Linked DNA regions of Neurospora crassa OR74A. The protein of the gene in region 2 purifies or fractionates together with the protein of the main gene of each other region. This does not show direct contact. Links are inferred from orthologs where the notes say so. Each region holds a gene or a part of one and is shown on either strand. Other genes may lie near its edges.

What was found. The genes of interacting proteins can lie anywhere in the genome.
Region 1: the proteins of eat-5 (region 2) and qcr8 purify together in Saccharomyces cerevisiae (affinity purification with mass spectrometry; 3 studies listed by BioGRID, with this or other methods). This does not show direct contact. The link is inferred for Neurospora crassa OR74A from reciprocal best matches to the Saccharomyces cerevisiae genes COX13 and QCR8.
Region 3: the proteins of eat-5 (region 2) and fes-1 purify together in Saccharomyces cerevisiae (affinity purification with mass spectrometry; 3 studies listed by BioGRID, with this or other methods). This does not show direct contact. The link is inferred for Neurospora crassa OR74A from reciprocal best matches to the Saccharomyces cerevisiae genes COX13 and RIP1.
Region 4: the proteins of eat-5 (region 2) and cox-4 purify together in Saccharomyces cerevisiae (affinity purification with western blotting; 6 studies listed by BioGRID, with this or other methods). This does not show direct contact. The link is inferred for Neurospora crassa OR74A from reciprocal best matches to the Saccharomyces cerevisiae genes COX13 and COX4.

What each region holds. Positions count from the first base shown.
Region 1 is NC_026505.1:5,787,400-5,792,341, reverse strand, and holds qcr8 (ubiquinol-cytochrome-c reductase chain VIII), read right to left. Parts: upstream 2,841-4,942; 5' UTR 2,741-2,840; coding exon 2,679-2,740; intron 2,543-2,678; coding exon 2,517-2,542; intron 2,267-2,516; coding exon 2,089-2,266; intron 1,967-2,088; coding exon 1,909-1,966; 3' UTR 1,602-1,908; downstream 1-1,601. Other genes in the region: NCU08946 (hypothetical protein), read left to right, coding at 3,426-3,749, 3,827-4,333. UniProt on the Saccharomyces cerevisiae protein: Component of the ubiquinol-cytochrome c oxidoreductase, a multisubunit transmembrane complex that is part of the mitochondrial electron transport chain which drives oxidative phosphorylation.
Region 2 is NC_026501.1:1,849,363-1,854,834, reverse strand, and holds eat-5 (encodes anonymous transcript-5 protein), read left to right. Parts: upstream 1-2,062; 5' UTR 2,063-2,258; coding exon 2,259-2,430; exon of another isoform or gene 2,431-2,492; coding exon of another isoform or gene 2,493-2,517; coding exon 2,518-2,542; intron 2,543-2,832; coding exon 2,833-3,000; intron 3,001-3,149; coding exon 3,150-3,195; 3' UTR 3,196-3,750; downstream 3,751-5,472. Other genes in the region: NCU01961 (DNA lyase Apn2), read right to left, coding at 1-1,274, 1,334-1,379, 1,435-1,447, 1,509-1,536; eat-6 (anaphase-promoting complex subunit Apc5), read right to left, coding at 3,751-5,338, 5,464-5,472. UniProt on the Saccharomyces cerevisiae protein: Component of the cytochrome c oxidase, the last enzyme in the mitochondrial electron transport chain which drives oxidative phosphorylation.
Region 3 is NC_026504.1:1,784,521-1,790,205, reverse strand, and holds fes-1 (ubiquinol-cytochrome c reductase iron-sulfur subunit), read right to left. Parts: upstream 3,801-5,685; 5' UTR 3,594-3,800; coding exon 3,320-3,593; intron 2,995-3,319; coding exon 2,906-2,994; intron 2,784-2,905; coding exon 2,633-2,783; intron 2,512-2,632; coding exon 2,330-2,511; 3' UTR 1,602-2,329; downstream 1-1,601. Other genes in the region: dim-8 (DNA damage-binding protein 1), read right to left, coding at 4,281-4,592, 4,661-5,685. UniProt on the Saccharomyces cerevisiae protein: Component of the ubiquinol-cytochrome c oxidoreductase, a multisubunit transmembrane complex that is part of the mitochondrial electron transport chain which drives oxidative phosphorylation.
Region 4 is NC_026503.1:513,157-519,121, forward strand, and holds cox-4 (cytochrome c oxidase polypeptide IV), read right to left. Parts: upstream 3,902-5,965; 5' UTR 3,698-3,901; coding exon 3,607-3,697; intron 3,353-3,606; coding exon 3,308-3,352; intron 2,895-3,307; coding exon 2,736-2,894; intron 2,675-2,735; coding exon 2,574-2,674; intron 2,511-2,573; coding exon 2,346-2,510; 3' UTR 1,597-2,345; coding exon of another isoform or gene 835-1,596; 3' UTR 641-834; downstream 1-640. Other genes in the region: NCU05688 (hypothetical protein), read left to right, coding at 835-1,596; NCU16615 (hypothetical protein), read left to right, coding at 4,879-5,199. UniProt on the Saccharomyces cerevisiae protein: Component of the cytochrome c oxidase, the last enzyme in the mitochondrial electron transport chain which drives oxidative phosphorylation.

The DNA of each region.
Region 1 (4,942 bases), on a different chromosome or scaffold from region 2:
ATCACAGACAACGACTTTACATACACCAGTCCAGTCCAGTCGCCAACACAACGGGACGCTAGCCGAACAGCACGGGGAAGGTAACGACTAACGAGACAACAACGGCGGCGGCTCAGTGGCTGTTCACCAGAAATAATGGGCTTCAAGACAAAAAAAAAAAAAAAAGGGCATCTCGACGGGGTTTTCCAGGGGTGCTCAACAAATGCCAGGCATTTCATCCACTGAATCCATTCACGTGTTCCTCCCGACTGACTTGACAACGAGCGGACGAGCGAGCGGGAAACCCGATCGACCTGCCTAGGCCCCCTCTCCGTCGTCGGCCATCTCGATGAATGGATGGATGGGCCATGGCGGGGTGGGGGTTCCACATCCACAATTCACAGCGCGAGCTGCTGCTGTCAGTCAACAACAACAACACTGCAGGCGACAAACTGACCTAACCACTCAACATCAGCGCCGACACAACATGGGACCTCCTTGGTTGGATCTCTTTTTGTTTGGAGGGGGATTAGCGACGCCAATTGATTAAATGTGAACCAATTTTGTTCTGGGTGTTTGTATCCTCATTATCATTCAGTCTCTCGACAATATATATGTTATATAGCTTGGAATGGTCTGTGCAAAATTAATAACACGGAACACAATTTCACATGTTCGTCTTTTCCATCTCTTCAACACATAACCCATGCTCCATGTAATCAACCCCGTCATAAAAATACTTCTATGATCTCTTTGCAAAAGCGAACAAATGGCGAGACCCTGACAGCCCAATGCAACTCAAGCGAAAGGAAAAAAAGACTATCATTAAATCATAGAATATACCAACCGAGGTTGTAGGAAAAAAAAAAGAAAAAGGGGGGGGGGGAGGGGGGGGGGGGGGGGGTTCGTTTTGCGCTTTTGGGCCACCCGTTCCTGCATTTGTTTGGTTTCTTTTCATTCATTACCCCTGAATGTTGCGTTGGTTGGGCTGATGGATGTATGGCCGGATTTCTTCACCGATCTGCTCTTTCTTCCACGAGCGTTTCTGGAAAATGCACTGCAGCTAATGACATGACTAGGCACCATACCAATAGTAGTTGAGAACTAACATGTACTTATGCCTACTTTGGAATGTTGCCCTGGAAATGCGGTCTGGAAGTTGGGGCTTAGTGCAGTGCCATTGTTTAGTTTTGAATTTGAATATAAAATGGCTTCGAACATACCTACCTCCCGTCATTGTTTACCTTGGATAGGTATCGGCATCTACGATGATGAGTTTGAAGGTGAAGTATTCACAGTCCTATTCATGGAGGTGAGAATGCTGAGCAGGGCTGGTTAGCTTGTCCCGGGAGAGGAACGGTATATGAACTAGGACGTTCGGCTTCACAGGCGTGGTGATACGTCATAAGGCCGGGCGCCGCTACAGTTTTCAGCCTTCCAGCGTCTGACATGCTTCCAGAGGCGAGAAAGAAAATCAAACTCCATGAAAGGAACCGGCTCGCTACCTCATGGTTCTCCTCGCAAGATCTAGTGCAGCCAACGAGCACCAAGCGCCGAAAAGACTGGCCTGCGGACCGGCAAGATGCACAATGATTGTACCCAAAGACAAGAGAACTGGAGCTAACCAAGGGAATGTCCGGATGATGCGTGGATAGATTAGGATCGTGACAAGGCTGGAAATCACATGCGATCTGTCGAGCCGAATGTAAACAAGAAACGACTTGGTGGTGGTGTTTCAGGTGTCGTATGAGATCCAAAACCAGCACATGCCGATACCCATAAGAGAGGTCCATGTCTTGTCTATGCCAACTCCAATTCGAACCGCGTGGGAATAAAGATGGTGATATACAGGTTAGTCTATTGAGTACTAGTTCTCTCTCTCGGGAACTGCACTCTGGTTCCGTGCCCAAGTATCGTAAAGTCCATCGCTTACTCCTCCTGGCCAGCGAACTCAGCACGACCGGCCTTCGAGTTGAGGTAGTGGTTCCTAACCAGCAGAATGCCCTGTTAGAATGTGGCACTCTCTTGAACGACGACAACAACGGTCCCTCCTTTGCCACCCCGTGATCGAAATCCCTCGGGGCTGTGGGTGGTGGTGATGCAACGTACCGCTCGATAGCCCAGTTCATGATGTAGTAGCCGGCAACAAGGGAGGGGGCCCAGTAGAGGAACTGGGAGCTGACACGTCTGAAGGTGTTGAAAACGGCGTCGTGGGCAGTGCCGGCGAGGGGGTTCTGGCGGTTAGGGCTGATACCGTAGGAGATGATGCCCCTCTGCTTCATGCCACCTGTTCGTCGGGAAGAAAAACAACATGGGTTAGATGGTCTTGTTCTGTCTCGGGGGTCGTCTCATCGGTTCGTCAAGGGTTCGGCGTGCGGGCGAGTGGGCGGGCGGTCATCAAGGTTCTTCGTCTTCTGGCTCGACCATCTGTCGTGCCCTCATATTCGCATTCCCTCCCATCCCGGTATTTCCCGTTGTTGAAGAATTGCCGTATGTTTGGTATCGGTGCATCGTCAATTGCAAAGGTTCCTACTCACCAAAGTTACCCCAGCCACCAAGGTAGCTATATCAACATGCACGTTAGCTAACATCCAGAGCTGGATCGGAGGGGGAGCCGGCGCAAAGGGAAAAGGGCGCATCGCCGGTAGCTTGTGCCATGAAGTTCCGGGCTCTTCCAAATCACAAGTGGGAAGACTGACTGGTTGTGCTTGCCGATGGGGGCACCGCCGCCGCCACCGAGCATGGTCTGAGTAGGACGCATCTTGAAATATGTGTTGTCGCGAAACGCGCTATGGGGGGTATCAATCGGGTCGTGGTGAGGACGCAGTCGTCGTAAAGGTTCGGGAAGAGCTTCGCGCGGCGTTGAACCGGGTTTGACGAAGTTCGAACTGAAATCGGTCGACAGTGAGTGGCTGGCACTTCATTTGCCAAGTGCCATGGAGCCGTCACTGGCAGTCCCGTCAGAAACCCGAGTGCTGGAGGCTCAAAAGGGATTAGCATGGAAAGGTACAAGCTACAAGTACCTTTACAGCATCATTCTCTTTCAGCCTCCTTCCGACCTGCCCGTCTGTTGAACAAAACAAGGTGCACGGACCATTAGGATAGGTATTGAATCACCATACGCAAGCACTGAAAGACATCCCCGGGCCATGCGGGGAGCTTGAGAGAGCTGGGCCTGGTCCGGGCGACGGGACATGGCACTCCACTTTTTGCAGAAGCTCCATCCATCGCAACGACTGCTGCTTACTGCTGCAACTGGGGAAGCACCACCACCACCACCACGATCCACGCCACGGTCCACGCCGTAGTGTTTGTAGTGTGATAATCCCACAGCCCACCTTGAGGTATCCCCGGAAACGACGTCCACGAATACTCTCGAGTCAGATCCCTCACCACCACATCAACCGAGTTCGATCCCTTAATCTTGATTCAAACCGATATTCACAATGGCGGCAAGAGGGTTGGACATGATCACCAAGTTCGCCATCCCGGCAACTGTTGGTGTGGCTCTTCTCCAGAACTCCATCTACGACGTCAGAGGTGGTTCGCGGGCGGTTATTTTCGACAGAGTTGCCGGTGTGAAGGACACGGTCGTCAACGAGGGCACACACTTCCTCATCCCATGGCTGCAGAAGGCCATCATCTTCGATGTTCGCACCAAGCCTCGCATCATCCCTACCACCACCGGCTCCAAGGATTTGCAGATGGTCAGCTTGACGCTCAGAGTGCTGCACCGTCCTGAGGTGCAGGCTCTGCCCAAGATTTACCAGGTGCGTTTACAAGAACTTGCCCCTTATGACGGCTACGACGGATCACAACGAACTTGAACTGACTGGAATCCCCACAGAACCTCGGCCCAGACTACGACGAGCGTGTCCTCCCCTCCATCGGCAACGAAGTACTCAAGTCCATCGTCGCCCAGTTCGACGCCGCCGAGCTCATCACGCAGCGTGAGGCCGTCTCGCAGCGCATCCGCGCCGACCTCGTCAAGCGCGCCGCCGAGTTCAACATTGCGCTCGAGGATGTTTCCATCACCCACATGACCTTTGGCAAGGAGTTCACCAAGGCCGTCGAGCAGAAGCAGATTGCGCAGCAGGATGCCGAGCGTGCGCGCTTCATCGTCGAGCGTGCCGAGCAGGAGCGCCAGGCCAACGTCATCCGCGCCGAGGGTGAAGCGGAGAGTGCAGAGACCATCAGCAAGTCTATTGCCAAGGCTGGCGATGGTTTGATCCAGATCAGAAAGATTGAGGCGTCGAGGGAGATTGCCCAGGTGTTGGCTGCCAACCCCAACGTGGCGTACCTGCCCGGAGGTGGCAAGGGGACAAATCTGTTGATGAACGTTGGCAGGGCGTAAACGGGAGCAATCAGTAAGGGAAAGAGACGAAGATGGTTCTGCAGAAAGGGGACCATGATACCTAGGCTACGGAGGTAAAGGGAGGTAATGACCAAAATGGGACTGTATTATTATGATATGAGCATTGTGTATCTTCCCCGCTTAGGCACTTGTTACAATAGGAGCATGTTTTTTGAACTTGACTTGTCTTTTGTCACTCGAGATGACATCCGATTTGATATTTTGACGGACGTGGGAATGGTGAAGGAATGGCCACTCTTTTCCTGAGGCTCCCAGTTCGGGCAGAGAAAAGTCACAACCATCCGATATAGGATTCCTGAGACGTGATATGCCTTACTAGGTGTATATTATGAAAGGTGAAAACGTTAGACACCCCAGACAGACCTCACACTCAACGCCAGGGACGCATGGATCTCGTAACGCTTAGCGGCGGTTCGGTGGACCAATGACCGAACGCAGGGGCCTCAGCTACCCGCCTCACTCACGGGCATGTTTCCCGTTTCTTGGCTCAACCTCGAATTGTCATCAACTTCATCTCAACAACACACTGAAAACACTCACAAGACATCAAAAACGAGGAGTTGAGAGGCCGGGCATCTCTAGACTATC
Region 2 (5,472 bases):
TGCTCAGCTCGTCGTTTTGGAACGGGGGATGTTTGCGACAACGCTGGGTCGGTTGCAGTTGACTGAGATAACCACTGCCTAGGCGATGATGCGGAGCTGGCGGTCCCCTGTAGTACAGTAGTGGCATTCACCGTGATGGAAGATGTGTTGGGAGAATCGGAAATATCTTGGCTGTCGGCTGCTGGGGTGGCTGACTTGGGCGTGTTGGACGGCGTTTTCTTTTTGACGAACATGTCCTTGATGCTCTGCCGTCGATCAAACTCGGGAATGAGCCTGGCGGAGGTAGGCAGACAATCCTTCTGAGACCATTCACGTTGGCGTTGGCCATTCTTGAACATGCCTTCTGGATTCATTATGTCTGTGATTGGAATGATGACACCATCTCTGCGAACACTGTCGCTAATGGTGGCATAGACGGGGCAGTGGTCTGACCCTAGAAGGCCTTCTTGGATGTTGGCGTCGACAAACCAGTCCTTGATTCCAGAGCTACACAGAACATAATCAATCCGACTACCAAAATTTCCAGGCCTCGCGTTCTTCCTTGTTTCCCAGCACGTGTACATGCCTGGACGCTTTGGATGGAACTCTCTGCAGAGATCCCACAGCACAGGCTTCTCTCGCCCTTCGTCTGGCTCACCAATCACTCGGCCACCGAAAACAATTTGGTTCAAGAACCGGCGCGAAGGGGTCGAGATGAACTGGTCGAGTGTCATGGCCTCCTTTTTCAATTGTTCTGGTAGACCAGCGGTATCCATCTCGTTTCGGATGATGTTGAGGTCGCCGCAGAGAAACACCTCTTTCCCCAAGGAGACAAGGTTACGAACTCTGGCATCCATGGCGTCGATGAAGGCCTGACGGAACTCGATCCTGGTCTCGTCTCGCGTGGCCGGGCTGTATACACCGATAAGAACAAAGGCAGGGAACTCCAAGATGACACACCTTCCTTCGGAGTCAAGTTGAGCTTCGTCTATGTCGCTGGAGAGTTGGCCGGGAGTGGGATAGCCACCAATCTGCTGATCAGCAGGCAAGTCGCGAAACTTTGTGGACGAGTTCGGCGGACACAGAACGCCAGTAATGCCTTCTTCGGCGCGTATCGGGCAACATTTCGAGGAACGAGTGTAGATTGCAACTCCCGAGTAGCCCTTCTTGTACGTGGGTAAGTTGAAGTACACATCCCAGCCAGGGACGAGGACCATGTCGTCTCTCAAATCCTTCCGCTGAATCTTGGTTTCCTGTATGACCACAATGTCGGCGTCCAAGGTGTCGAACATGGCCTTCACTGTGTTAGAGCATCCGGCCAGATAGGGCTTTTGAATAGGGAACTTGATCCCACCTGAAACGTGCGGTTCTCCCGCCATGGCTGGTAACTGAATGGGTTTCTTGAAGCAGGGTCAGAGCTGGTTCATAGGGACGGCTTGTCGTGTTAGGACCGACCTGATACCATTGACTACACATTGGTTTGAGTTAGACCAGGCAAAACGCAGCAAAAACGCGCAAGAGGATCTCACCATTCCACGTCGTGATCCGTAACCCCATTTTCAGATATTCCTTTACTGATGCTAAGGTAGCTCTCTAGATCTACCAGGTTTATAGCACAACAAAGTCACTTCGGTCGCCGGATGCGGCGCTTGTAATTGCAATGGCCACACGAGAAGCAGAGGGACATGGGCTGACGTCTTCGATGTTCGGCTTCGCATGAGCAAGAGCTTCAGGTCTCGGGAACAATTGATCTTTCCCTCACGTCGCTACATCGATCGATATTCCCAGTCTCTTGGAGTTTGCCACACCTTGCGGCAAACGACCAACGATGTCACTAGCTGCCAAGCCATCGCCAAGTAGTTCGCGGCGTCCACAAACGAACGATTGGCTCGTGCGGTTGAATTACGCAGGTGAATTGGGCGGTCCACACACGAAGTCACCTGACAGGCAGCTGCTTTCGTCATTCCGACTGCTCGCGCAACTCAAGCTTTCAACGGGAACGTGCACTTGGCACTGTGGCTTGATTTCGACTGTCTGTGCACTCCAGCCACACCCCATGAGCAGCCGCAACCCACGCACGCACCCGAGGTCGAACTGAGCAATGAGCTGATCGGTCTCTGACCTCACTCAGTTCGCACCCGGAGTCACGAGAAGCCGCCAAGCGCAGGAGGAAAAGAGTGGGGCCAGCTTGCTACAACCTTTGCTGCTGATTCCGCATCCACCTCGTTACCAGTCCTCCTCCGAACCACCTGTAGTCGACCACAACGAATACGGAAACCATGTTCGCCCAACGCCAGATGTTCTTCGCGCGCCTCGCCGCCAACCTTCGCGCCCCCGCGGTCCGCCAGACCGTCCAGCGCCGCTTCGCCAGCACCCCTGCCAACGAGTCCGGCAAGAACGCCTTCGTCCGCGAGCGTGAGGCCGTCAAGCAGCACGCCGCTGAGACCACCGGTGCGCACTAATCCACCACCCGCCCTTGTCAATTGCCGACCCCGATTATCGATGGACGGGAAATGCTAACCGGGAGTCGCCATATAGAGCTCTGGCGCAAGATCTCTCTCTAGTATGCGCATTTCCTCCCACCCCCCAAATCCCCGCTGCGTGGTTTTTCCCGGATGGACCCCTCGGACTCTGAAGGAATTGGAACTTCAGCTAGCTCAAATGAAGCTCCATCGAGCTCCGATCGGAGCCCGCCTTCAACGACGAGCGCATGACACCAACGTCATAGCCGACGTGCACCGCCGAGAAGACGAAGGGGATCAACAGTCAACATCTACGGAATGCTTGATTGAGTGGGGGACAGAAAAGGGGAATGGAACACAATAAGCTAACGAAACTCACCCTTTCTCCCAGCGGCATTCCCCCTGCCCTCGCCCTCGCCGGATACAACGCCTACACCCTCTACAACGAGCACTGGGAGCACTGGTCCCACCTCCCTCCCCTTGAGGAGCGCACCGAGTACCCCTACCAGAACATCCGCACCCGCAACTACCCCTGGGGCGATGGTGACAAGACTCTCTTGTACGTTTAACCCATCCGAAGCTCGCACAACCGGCGGGCATCTCTGCATGGCCTTTCTGAACGAAGGAGCTTTGAGCGTGTCGAGCCCGCCCCATCGAAGGAGCCTCATTCTATGGCAACAACTACTGACCGATACCAACTCTGTTTAGCTGGAACGAGTCTGTCAACTACCACAACCGCGACAAGGTCACGTAAGTGGCTTGTTGATGCGAGCTTCACAAGCACCATCTGTGCTCTTGCTTGCTAGACTGGCATCATCCCTGGATCATTGGAAAGCAAAGAGAATTGGGACAGCTAGCGTGTAGTGAGAGCAGGTGGCATGGGACTGTGAATGAAGTGTGGAAAAGAAAGAACAGGACGAGTGCTAGAGGCACCACCACGTCTACTGATCCGCAATCATCATATCAATTTATTTGTATTCTGATATCAGCCTTTGTAAAGGCTCGCATTGACATCCATATGATCTTATTCTTGATGGAAGCCCATGTGCAGGACGAAAACAGTGTTCTACTGCTATTGCTGGGGATCTCCATGAGACAAAGTGCAGTGAGCCTTCATAGCTTCCTTCCATTTCTACCAGGGGTATAAAGACACAAAACAAGGGGCACACATCCGCGCCATGTTCGATGAAATCAAACATCAACCTCTATGGCCAGCGACAATATTCTCCATTCCTCATCAAGTCATTACAACCGAACTGCTCCATAAAAACGTCCGACCGGAGCTTTACTGAGCCCCACCCAAACCATATTATGGCGTACCTGTATCTGTCGACCATACACTAGAATGCTCGCCCGACGAGCTCTGCCTCTTCAATGCCATATACCGCGCCGCATACTCCTCCGCTCGAGCATGATCCCCCAGCACTTTCATTAGCGTCGCCCTCTTCGCCAACGTCTCGCACTGCTTCTCCAGATCTTCCGCCGCAGAGAAGTGGTTGAACGCACACTCCAGCGCCTCGTGTGCCTTCGTAAAGAGGTCGATTTTTTTGTTGCTCATCAAGCTCGCCGCCGCTCCTGTTGTTTCTCCCGTCGTCGTCATCGCCTGCCTGGCCTTTGCAGCTTTTCCAGCCTGTCCCATCCTGGCATCCGCCAGGATACTATACAGTATGCCTGTGTTGAAAGCATTCTCCGACTCCATCGAGCGCGGCAGCACTGCTTCTACTAGCTGCACAGCGGCAGTGAACTCGCCCATCGCATTCAGTATGTTGGCCAGAGCGCCAACCGCCTGCCAGAGAAGGGTGAGCAGCCGCGCACGCCACGCAAGGCTCGCCGCGCGCATGGTGATTGAGAACCCCCTTTCCGGTCTGCCCATGCAGTCAAAGAGGTGCGCCTTAGCCAGCAGTAGCCGAATACGCAGAGACAAGTCCCGGTGGTCATCACGAAACTTGGCGATCAGCCGCTCGATCTTTTCGTACGCGGCGTCAAAGTCCTTGCGCCGGATCAGTGCCTCGATGTGCAGCGAGTCGATAATGAACACCACATCTGGATCGAGCTCCTCGGAGCCGATCTGCAGCAGCTGCGCGAGCAGCGTCTCGGCCGTGTCGAGGTCGTTGTGGTGCAGGTCGCGCCGCAGCTTGACAAGCCCGCGGTAGAGGTGCCAGTACTGGTTAGGCTTGGCGGCGCGGAGCAAGTTCTTGTCGATGCCGTCCTCGAGCTTGGCGAAGGCTTCGTTGTACTTGCCCTTGCCGGCGAAGGTGCCGGCTAGCCGGCAGACCATCTTGAGCTCGTCGTCGAAGCAAGCGCTTGGGGCGTGGACGCGCAAAAAGACCTCACTGGTCATGGTGGAGAGGTAGGAGATGCCGAGTCGGTCCCAGAGCGAGGTGGTGACGGATAGTTGCGAGCCGATGAGGCTCTTCATGTTTCTTTCGACGATGATATGTGAACTGCGCACGAGGTGTTCCATGGCGCCGGCAATGCTTTCGCCGTTGGCCATGTTGAGCTTGGCTTCGCTAAGGAGGGCGGAACTCCGGAGCACGAGCATGCCGGTTTCTTTGGCTTTCGCTCGGAGGAAGGCGAGAGCTTCCTTACCGCTCCCGATCATGCTGTTGGCCTCGAGATCCTGGACGAGATCTGGGTGTGCTCGGCCAAAATGATAGAACCAGTTGAGACAGAAGTTAAGACAAGTGTTGTCCTTGTTCTCTCGAGCGGTGGAAATGGTCTCGAGCATGGTTGCCATTGCCTCCTTATGGCAGCCAAAGTCCGACTGTACGATTGCCAGGTTCATGAGGGCGTAGTGGTAGAAAAGACGGTCGCGGTTCTGCATGGTGTAGTCGAAGTATCTGTGCAAGTAGTCAAACGCTGATGGATAATCACCGGATCTCCAAGCATCTGAGAAGCTGTAGACGTCAACATCCGTTCGCGAGCTGCCAGTTTGGTTTTTCTTTTTCTTTTTTTTTTTTTTTTTTTTTTTTTTTTCTCTCTTTTTTGGGAGGAGGAGATAGGGGGGAGAGTGAAGGCTTACTTGAGATAA
Region 3 (5,685 bases), on a different chromosome or scaffold from region 2:
AGGCTATCTTCTCGTCCGCGTTCCGTGAAGAGAGCGGTCATGGTTTATATATACCATGGTCGTAAGATCCAACAACCCCCTGGTCGATGAGCATCCACCATGTGTTCCTTGTGATCTCCCACCAGTCTGCCACAGGCCTTGTACATACCGACCCTCCGGACGAGCCCTTTCATCATTGCATATGTAGTAGCACTGAATAATAACCCCCATCCTGAACCGCTGTCATGAAAGTCGTGAAGCCAGGGCGTTGGCTCCGCTCCAAGCCGGAGCGACATGGCCCAAAAAGGAATTCGGTTCATTGGGCCCGAGGATGTTCGACAGGGGGGATCGATCCGCTGGCCGGCCGGCAAGGCCTCGACTCCATTGTTTCTTCCGTGTAGCGAGCCAACCAAGCTCACATGTCTGAGGTACAAGCGAAGTGGGCATGTGTATGTATAAGTTGCCCCTCTAGTACCGTAGTACCGGGCGGCTTTCGCCTGGGCCCCTTGTCACCAACGACATATCGTCGAGATAGGGGAAATACGAGGATGTAACCTGTTCAAGATGAAGGATGGAAGATTCACCGCTGGGGAAACTGATGATGGAAGGTGGAAAAGGAGTGATGGCCGCTTGGCTACGGAATGCCTCCCGTAAAGCCGGTGCGAGTAAACATGTGATGGTGCTCGGTATCATCGGGTTGTTGTTTGAAACATCCTCACTTGAGATATGCTCGAAAGCCGATATTTTGAATGATGTGCCGCCGTACTTTGAGCATGCACCTATGTTCACTGATACAAGTCCATGGTCTCCCCTCTGCCCTATGTTGACGATCTCGAATGTGGCACGGGCCCGGACATGATCGTAACAGAGGGCAATGTCGAAAGGCAGGCAGCTCAGTGACAGTCAAAGCCTCCCAGCCCAAGTGGTAAAGTAAACATTCGACTTGGTGATCCGTTCATATAAGATGAGACTCCATAAGCGCTTGATTGACTGCGACGTTCACCCACCCCTCACTTCTCGCTTTCGGTGGCATCGGCATGCCTCGATCTCGGTCGCCGTCAATGACCGTGGCGCCTGCCATAATTTATGTTCGAGAACAACTTTGTCCAGTCGTGGTGGGTGAATCGTGGCCGCCATGGTGCCTCGGGTAGTCGGCAAGTCAGATCAGACGAACGATGGAACTTCGCTTGTTACATGACCCTAGGAGCAGCCCCTTTGAGCCGCAAGGGTGAGGGGTTTCGAGAATTTGGTGAAGAAGTGAGAAAGCTGTGTCAAGACGCGCCCGGGAAGGCGAAGTTCAAAAGATGAGGTTGTTTTGTTTGTGGGGGAAAAAGACTCAGAGCAAGGGGGAGCGCATGGGGGTACAACCTAGCCCCTGCAATGAGACTGCAACCCACCCGGCCAGCATTGGCAAGGGGCTATGGTTGGAGGTAGTGCACTAACTATGTGTCGGCTTGAGTAGCGCACAAGATGTTAAGGCGGGCTTCAGATATAATTACGTTCGGAGAATTCCTCAGACGTCAATGAAACAACCAGGGTAAGCTACCGGTTCGCGGGCGTTTCCTTAACTCAGCTACCAGAGTAGCACGGGCGGGTATACCGACTGGGCTTGATTCGCAAGGTTGGCCAAGCTAAGATTAAGTTGTCAACATCTGTAATTCTGGTCGAGCTGCTCTCCAGCAATTCGACATGTAGCCTGTCTGTCCCACACCCGCATAAAAGGCCATTTGTATTTACCAATGCCGTGTTGGATGATCAGATGCGTTAGCATTGGGAGGTTCATCAGCTGACCTATGGTTTCCTCACAAAGCTCTTAGCCACAGCCGACTGCCATGGGTCGAGGAAGACCTTCTCACGGTACCATGCTCCAGTGAGCCTCTCATACAATAGGATTTTCTACAAAGCCAGTCTATAGGAAAACGCAAGGGTACAACACTCAGCAGCAACCTAGCGCCAAGCTCAGCACCAATAATAGGTATGTAGGGTTGCGTAGGTGAAGAACGCAGTTCTGAGTATATAGAAGTTTCCGACTCTCGAGCGCATATGATCGACCGTGACACCTGATTTGCTGTTGTGTATGCGTATGTGTGTCTTCTGTCTATAGGATAGTCGTACGAAACCGCGTCAAGAACCACGGAAAACAAAAATCCCGTTTTATGGTCTATGACATGCTTCCACTCAAGCCCTTTGTCGCAATACCCCCGTACTAATACAATTCTCCCTGTCATCGTCTCTCGGGCAGCAAGGGAAAAAAAAAGTGGACAAGGGAATATCGAGAGGATTCCCTAGTAGGTTTGGTTAAAAATTGTGTCTTGTTTGTTCAATCGGAAAGTTTTGTCTTTTTGCTCGCTTAACCAATGACAAGCTTGCCCTCCTCAGGGAACTCGTAGAGAGGGATCTCGAGGTTCAGAGGGGCAGGTCCTTTCCTGATACGGCCAGAGATATCGTAGTGAGAACCGTGGCAAGGGCAGAACCAGCCACCGTAGTCACCGGCCTCGCCGATGGGAACGCAACCCAAGTGGGTGCAGACGCCTGTTTTGTTCACACACCAAATGTCAGTCTCCCCACATCGTCGTGTATCCAGGATCTGAGCATCCAAAAATGCTATCCTTCGTCTTGTTCGGATCGCAAAGAGGGACATGGAGGGGCGTACCAAGCATGACGAGCCACTCGGGCTTCTTGACACGGTCGGCGTCGGTCTCGGGGTCACGGAGGGTGGCAACGTTGACCTTGTTGGCCTCTTCGATCTCCGCAGGGGTACGGTGACGGATGAAGACGGGCTTGCCACGCCACTTGATGATGACCTGTAAAAGTAGGAAAAGACCGGGGTCAGCATTCCATCATGGTTTGATCGTCGTCGGGAATCGATGTGCCCAGCTCAGCTCAGCCCAAGCCTTTGCTAATCCGGTTTCGTAGGGATCCTTACGTTCTTGCCCTCGGGGATGGCGTTGAGGTCAACCTCAACCTTGGCCATGGCCAAGACATCAGCGGAAGCCGACATGTTCTTGAGGAACTCTGTATAACACGGTCGCCTCGTCAGCTGTCTTTAGTTCTTGGGTGTTCGTGGGTGCATGTGCAAGATGGCATTTTCCCCATGTATCCATGCTTCAACATCGCCCCAAGGTCCAACCATATCCGCCCCGATATCGAAAGTTGTCATAGTGGTCGCAAATTGGTGATCGATGAGACGGAACCGTAGATAGCTCGCCCCACCATAACAGAACCCCCTTGTCGAATCCCATTGACCCGAACCCATCTGTCCTATGCCACCTCTTTGTTTTCCCCAACCTCGAGGAATGTGTGAAGCTTCCTCCTCAAATCCCATCAAGTCAAGACTCACCCTGGATGGTGGACTTGGCGCCGGCGGCGGTGATGGCGCCCATGGTGCCGACCATGAAGTAGGAGAAGAGCATGTTGGTGCTGGGGGGCGCCTTGCTCATGTATTTGCCGAAGTCGGGGACCTTGGCGGCCTTGCTCTCGCCCTTGAAGGGGCTCTCGAAGGTGGAGGACGAGGAACCCTGGAGGGCAGTCGAGGTGGTGAGAGCGCGAACGGCCCGGGCGGGGGCGGCAGCGGCGCGCATGGCGGCGCGGGAAACGATCGAGACGGGCGCCATTGTGTCGGTAGAATTACTCGCGTGGACAGAGGTCGGAGCGGAGAGAGGGGGTTGCGAGAGCGGGGAGATCGAGCGAGGTTCTGCTCTTTCGGAGTCGCGGGAGGACGGTGGACGTGGGCGGTGTTCCGGAGACGGAATTGACGGCTGCGTAATGCGGTCGAGACGACGAGGCCAAAATCACGGACTGAGGTTTTTCTGGGCCGAGCTTGGTTCCCACCTTTCCCGGCATGGGAAACCGCCATAGCTACTGGCTTGTGGCCTGAGGCACTAACCAACCACAGCGTCCGCCCAGCAGCTAGAGAGCTACTTAATGCGCCGGCCCTGATTGGCTGTGACTGCCTGTTCGTCCACTCTCCGGTTTCTTCCGTCGCCTGGTTCGTCCTGTTGGTGGTGGTGATGGTGGTGGTGGGGCTCACCTCAGCGCGTCACCGCAGCGCCCGGACAACTTGAACTGTCAGCGACTCGGCGAGCCAAGGGTGCCAAGACAGTGATGTCAATTGATCTATTGATCATACATAATTCATTCGTTCATCTGAGGCTATTCACAGACTCATCTTCTCTCACCCTATGCAGCCATGTTTTGAGCACAGCACTTATTGACAACACTTGCAACTGCCAAAATCTTCAGCAGCCAAAGCGATGACTTGTAGACATCCAATCATGCACGTTAAGTGTCTAACCGTTGGCTCAGTGCATCCTCCGTAGCTCCTCTACCATATTGCGCATCTGCTCAACGCTCGGCCCAAGACCTTCGCAGATCTCCTTCTGCGTCTTCTCATCCACATCCAAAAACCTCTCCAGCAACTCCCCATCCAGGAACCTGACCGGCCCAGTCGTTCCATCTGCCTCGGGCCCCCTTTCCGCATTGCGGAATGCCCTGTAGGAGTTGAAATCGAGTTCGCCAACTGTCTTGATCACCGCCGCCAGTTTATCCTGGAACCGAAGTAAGAGGTCTTGTTCGCGCGCAATCGTACCAAACATGTAAATACCGCCTTCCGCCTGTTTTATCAAGTCAATTGTTAGCCTTGACCTTGTGACATGATCAATCTGAGAAACAGGCAACTTACCGTGGCCAAGAACGCTCGAGGAATGATGATGGCGTTCGGGCTAGTCTCGACCTTGATCGGGCGTATTTTGTTCACCTGTTCTCCCAGGTTGAGCTCGCTTGTTATCCTCAGTTGCCGCTGGTCCTCCACTGTCACGCCCTCAGCATTGCGTTGAAGCACGATCAGATTGCCATTGGCATCAGCTTCAAGCCAAGACTCGCCCTCAACGTGAGCCACGGCCGTTGCCCACGCAGAATGCCTGTGTCTCGCGCACTCTACCAACTTGGGGGCTTCGGACTTCTCCCCTCCGGTTTTGGCCGGGACGTACTCGACCAGTGTAGCCGACTTCATCATATCAGCAACAGCAATCATGTTGCCATGCACCGCGATGTCGACCGGATAAGTTGTGCACCGATAAGACGCGAGCTTGACGAGATGGGCCTCAGTGCTTGACGTTTCCTCGTACTGGCTGATAACCACTGTCTTGTGGAGTGCAGCCACGATTTTGCTGCCCATGACCGCCAGAGCGCGACAGCCGCCTTTCAGCTCGTGCTTGAGGACCAAGTACGGATCCCGGTTGCTGTCGATCCCGAACACCAAGATCCTACCGCGCTTGTCCGTACCAGCGCCACGGTCAGGATCCTCCAGGAAGCTTGTACCGACGATAAACCTCTCCACAAGATTTCCATAAGAGTCAGGCAGCTCTGCTCGGATGACGTCCTCCACTAGTTCGGAGTACGACGATGTTCCGAGCATGAACTCCTTGCCAACCCTCGCAAATAAGATCTCATCAACCAGCTTAAAAGAGCTGTGAATGATCTCCTCGCCATTGACTACCTCTCTCCTGATACATCCGAGTCCGAAACCCTTTTCACTAGGCGAGTAGGCGATTCTACGCACCATCTCTCCCAATTCCAAAGATCGCACGTGCGTCTGTCTGGCTGTGTCAATCTCGGAAATCCTGATCTCGTTCTCGGTAGACAAAATGACAGCCCCTGGGAAAGCCTCAGAGTCAAAGGGACAGACACAGGTAGCGTCCTCAGCCG
Region 4 (5,965 bases), on a different chromosome or scaffold from region 2:
GCAACATGAGGTTGATCTGGAGAAAGGTTTAGGGCATGGAGGACACAGAAGGCAGCAAAGGATATATCTGAGATTAATTCGATAGGGACGGGAAATTGATCTGGTATAAAAGACAGGCTTTCTTTTGGTTGGAATCTATTCTTGATTGGTCCCCTCATGAGTGTGTTGAAGTTCATATTGGCGATGTGACGTTGTAAGCTTCCCCGGAGGTTGCACTACATACAGTAACGGCTGAGATGGCCCCGCATTTTCAAGGCCATTGGCCTAAGCTTCTATGTAGTGGTTGAGCGGGTCCATTCCCACCATTGGACCAAACCAGACCAGACCATCGAGGTCCCGTCTCCAGGATAATTCATTCCAGTCGCAGGCTCCCTGTGACCATCGACAATCCAAAATAATTTCCCTCCATTCAAACTACTATCCGATTTTTGGTATCATACCAAGGTATTGATCTCCTCGATCTGGTTTTGTGCGACGCTAGCCTAGTACCGCACTCAGCTACTAAGAACCGGAACCCATCGACCGCTTCTACTACTGAACTACAGTGTAGCGCGCGCCCACTTCCATCCATCCATCGAACAGTACCTATCGCAACGCGACAACCACCTGGCGCATCCACGCGCAAACATCCATCCATCTCCTCGAAGAAGCCACAACGATTTACTTAGCTTTACGAGAAGGCCATCGAGTTGCTCCCTACCCGAGCAGACAGACCATCATCACCAAACCCTACCTTACCTGGCCTGTACCTGGGTACCTACCTACCTACTCAAGCATCCAACCAACCACCCACCAACCCATTCAACAACACCTACATACGCTCCTCAACGCAACATGTCTGCTGGTCCCGGCAGTGGCTCCGGAGGCGGCTCCGCAGGAGGAGGGAAATTCAACCCCAAAAACCTCCACTACGACCGCTCCGCTACCCTCCCTCCCTTTCTCGCTCGGTTGCATGCTCAACATGCCCCCGGGAACTTTGACGGTCCCGATCCGATCCTGGCTGCGCGGAGACGACCGACGAAGAAAGCGAGGAGTGGAAGTGAGGAGGCGGAGGACGCGCCGCTTGTTTTGGACGAACAGGGGAATGTGGTTGATGGAGTGTCTGTGGGGAAGGATGGGAGGGTGATGGAGTCTGGTTCGAAGGTGGAGGGTGAGGGGACCACAGAGGGGGAGGGACAGGGACAAGAGGGGGAAGAGGGGGAGGGGGGAAAAGATGGGAAAGAGGGGGAGGGGGGAAAAGATGGGAAAGATGGGGAGGGAAAACAAGAAGGGAGAGAAGGGGAAGGGGGGGACAGAAACAAACATGGGGAGGGGAGTAAAGAAGGGAATAACAAGATGGCAAAGGAGGAGAAAGGAGTGGGAATAGGAGCGAGTAAGAAGAAGAGAAAGGTAGGGAAGGTCATTGCTGGCGATGATGACTCTGATCAAGAGCAAGATGGGGATGCTAAGGAGCCAAAGGCAAAGGCTGAGGGTACAGATGCCAAAGACCAAAGCGGAAAAACGGAACAGGCAGGGGAGAAACCAAAGCCCAAGACGGCCATGAAGAAGGCTAAGAAAATCAAGCTTAGCTTTGGTGATGGTGATGAGGAGGGTTGAGATGCCGTCGTTATCGGGCTTGGGCGCTGGAAGTACATAAACACCGACGGGAGAAAAAAAAGGGGGGCATGCCGAGAGGAAGGTGTGTGTTCAAGGCTAACAACCACGTCGGCCGGCGCATGTCCCAATAGCAAGTGGAAGGGCGCAAGATGCGCGACCTGGTGACAAGCTTGCGGATGACGAGGGATGCAAAGTCCGAGTTTGTCTATGCCGTTATGCCTGGAGTACTACCCAAGAGCTGTCCGGAGAAAAGCAATAGGGAGCTGTGCCAGAACGTCGTTCCCGATCCTGCGGTGCTCTGACTCAGTGCCAGGCAGAAGAAGCTATCTTGGATGGTCTCGAGTCTTGTTGCTCGGTACCGCAGAGAAGGTCGAGTCTAGATGATTCTGCGAATGCACTCTGAGCAAACAGCCCTAGTAGCAATCCTGAATCTAGATACTGTCACGCCAATCCAACCTCTTTCGAGCTTCTCGATGGTATATACAATTCCATGTTCAGTATTTATTTGGCCCCAGGGTTCTAGGTAGAAATCTACAGCTCTAGGTTCCCGAATGCAAGTCCAATGAGGTAACAACCACCTACCCAGCCTCATCATCACCCCCGTGTTCTCCAGGTTCGCATTCACAGTGCTTGCCTCCCAGTAAACTTGTGTCATATGCATGCATCGTATTTGTCAATGTCTTCTTCTATTAACAACCCACTACACAAAAACCTCAAACCTCCCTTTGCAAACCCCACAACTGGGTAATTTACCAGTACTCGGGCTTGACGTAGTCGGCAAAGGTCTTGGGCTCCTCGAAGCCGTGGTGGTCGTGGCCGTGGTCGTGGGCGTGGTCGTCCTGGGGACCGACGTAGTCCATCTTGTAGACGTTGCCGCACTCGGGGCAGCGCTCGACGGGGCGCTCGCGGGTCATCTATTTTTTGGTTAGAATACTCAATTTGAGCGGTAGAAGAAACAGAGAAGAGAAAAAACTCACGGTGAGCCAGATGACGTTGTGGGAGTCGGCAGGGAAGCCAGTGCAACCGGCGTACTGCTCATCACCGGCGGAGCGGACGGAGATGGGGTTCTCCATGGTGCCTATTTTTCAACTGTCAACCCCCCAGCTCCTCTCAACCCAGGTTATTACAGCAAGTCTTACCCCTGCGGGAGGCATCAAGGGGCTTCATGTCGAAAACGTCGACGCCCTCCATCTTGCCGAGAATTTCGAGACGCTCGAGACCGGTGGCCTGCTCGAGATCGGTGGGGACAGTGCCGGGGGCGGCACCGGGGCCGAAGAGGTCATCCTTGGTCTTGATCTCTGTTTGTCGCGAAAGGTATATATGTCAGTCATGTATGTTTTTTCGTCGTATGCGGTTTCGTCCGTCACCCCGCATCGTCATGGAGCGAGTGGAGGCTATAGGGAAGCTGGGCTGAACTGAGCTACCCGGCCGGTGGAAGCTGTGGTAGATAGGGGAGCCTCAAGCTTGAGCTGGTCGAGGAGCTTCTTCTCCGGTTCGTCCGCGCAATGATAATAACCCCCTCCTTTTTGTGGTCGTCCAATGCTTTCCTCCTCCTTCTTCTTGTTGTTTCATCAAGCTCCCCCAAGCTTGACTAAGCTCAGCTCGAGCTTCGAAAGACCCACCACAGCTTCCAGTTCGCGTAGCCCAGTTCTCCAGCAACCCCAATAGACACAATGGTGACGCAATCGCCGGCGGGGGGAGATCATCATACCGGAGAGACGCTTGATGTGGGGGACAGGCTTGGTCTCGGCGTTGCCTGGAATCAAGATAAAAACATGGTGTCAGTTTTGCGATCGGGATTCGGGGGTTTGTGATTGATGCGCGTTTGGTTGTCGCGAATTGGTTCGAGGTGGTGGTGGGGTCATGATGTCGTCGTCGTTGGTGGTGGTGGTGGTGATGATGCTTATGCGCGGATATTTGCAGCTTCGCGATTGGAGCTTTTTTGGATGCCGTGCTTTTTTTCAGGCCGCAGCCGCTAAAAACCAAGAGACGTTTCCAATGTTCACTTACAGCGCACAACGGTGGTGGCGATGCTGCGACGGAGAGCGGGGGCAGCGGTGGCCCGGCGGGCGACGGCGACGGCGGTGCGGGACAGGAGCATGTTGGCGACGGCGGCGGGTGGGTGGTGGTGGATGGTGTGATGTCGGAGTGACAGAATTGACCGGGAGAGAGCGGAGAGGCGGGAGATGATGTTTTGTCGCTGTCTGTCCGAATCCGAAGCTGGTTTGCCCACACTGCCGTGGGTCCCACAGCTGAGCTGGGCACCACTGCAGTGGACAGAGGCCCCGACCGTGCTGCCCTTCCCTTCTGCCGCTGGCAACTGGCGAACGGGCGGTTGTTTGGTACGAATGGAGGCGCTTGGACCACATTCTGGAAAGCTTCCCCAGCTGGTTGCCAGAAGCAGCTAGCGCACGGTCAGGTGATGCAGCACGTGGGACCGCTCATATCATCAGTACTGTACCATGAAGTGAAGCGACAATTGCGTGATGAATACATGGCAAGAGACTGTGTGAAGCAATCCTAGGTTTCAATTGACTTGGGTACGGCATAGATTATATAATGATTGAGCTAACTGGGAGCAGAAGGAAGAAGGTCTTGATGAAGCTATTGCAGGTTTGACTGGCGTGACCCTAACCCTCCAAGCCCCAATCAAACATCGACAATGCTCCACCCCGTCAAACGGAACTCGGGCTTTCCAGCTTCAAACTACCGGGCCCAATCCGGCTTCCGTGTCCGATAGTGGATCCCCGGATCGGCGCCCTGTGCAAGTTGGAGCGGCACCATTCCGGAAGTGTGCAAGTTATCTTATCCAACTAACTCACGAACGAGAACACAACACAACAAACGATCCACAGCTTCTTCACCACAGCCGGTAACCGCCACCGGTCCTTTGTCAACTCCCTCCCCTCTCACCTCCACCCGCTCCTTGAGAAGGAGGAGCAGAAAGGAAAGTGGTATCTGAAGTTGTAGGGGCTGGGTGGTTGTGGAAGAGGTGGAGGCATGCATGGCAGTGAAATTTCGCATATGAGAGTCGGGTTCGGAGTTTGGGACGCCTGGGAGCTTACACAACACTCGTATTTTACCTTGTTCAACATGGAGGCTCAAGACATGGAAACACACAGGACGTCTTGTTAAGCACATGACCACGCCCTACAGCTACGTACTCCTCTCTCTGCCTCCTACCCACTAAGTAAGATTCTTACCTACATGATACCACCTCCTAGTGGCGGAAAATTCCCACCTCCCGAACACCACCATCCCCAAACCCCAGAGTCCTGTCCCATGGTTCTCGCCCTGTTGAGGCACAGACGATGCACCCCGTTTTTTGTTTCCCATTTTGGAAGTTGGGCAACTGGGGTATGCGGGGAGCCCGTCATGCAGTTACTGTCGTTTGCTTCAGTTGAGCGGTTTTCAGGGTCTTGGATGTCACTCACGTGGTCGATACTAAAACCGGCGATGGTGCTGGATGGCTTGCATACCCCTGACTGGATGAGGATGAGGTGGGTGTCGAGAAACATGCGATATGGAATGGTGAGACAGGGGCTTAAGTCTTGGAATATTCCACGAACCATACCTACCTCTGTTCTAGCCACCCGACCATAGGATCGGGCTCCTGCTTTGTCTTTAGGCATACATTCTGAATGGTACCCAATAAACCAAGGCTGATCAGTCCGGGGTAATCTGAGTAGATCTCCTCGGGCGGAGTTGGTTCCGCGGCTGGGGCGCAAATGGCTCGGGGTCTTCACCCTGTCCGAGGACTCGCTTTTAAACGGCTTTTCGTTTTGAGGATTATGTCAATGGCAAGACTGCCTCTCGGTACTTGGCTCATTGTCAGTGTCTCGGGGTCACCTTGCCCGTTAAAGCATTCATCATGATGAAGAACCGACGATGCACTGGAAAATGAGTTGATTCAACAGGCCGCCGATTTCCTTGCTTATGAAAGGAGCAATGGCTGACACAAACCGATGGCCAATCATCCCAAATTGTAGCGTCTACTGGACGGAATAGTCTCGTGTAACCGAGTGTTTGAAGGGGAGAGGGCGACATCTTCGAAATGGGTGCATGGCGCTGGAGATCATCCCCGGACTTTTCAGGCGACAGGGTTACTGCAAGAGGGAGGAATCAGACTCCAAAAGGCTGAGCAATCTCTGCAGCTGAGGTCCTCACTGACTGGAAATGGTCAGTCACATTGGAACCCGAACACCAATGAGAGTCATGAACGATGGCCATCCTACCAATTTGGGCACCGAGGGAAGGAGCAATCAGCCAATGTTGCGAGGCCCCGTGATCAAGGTTTGGGTCGATGATACTCCCTCATCTTCATCTATCCGAAGAAGGTGCAAACCCAGGAGAGGGTTCATGTCGTACT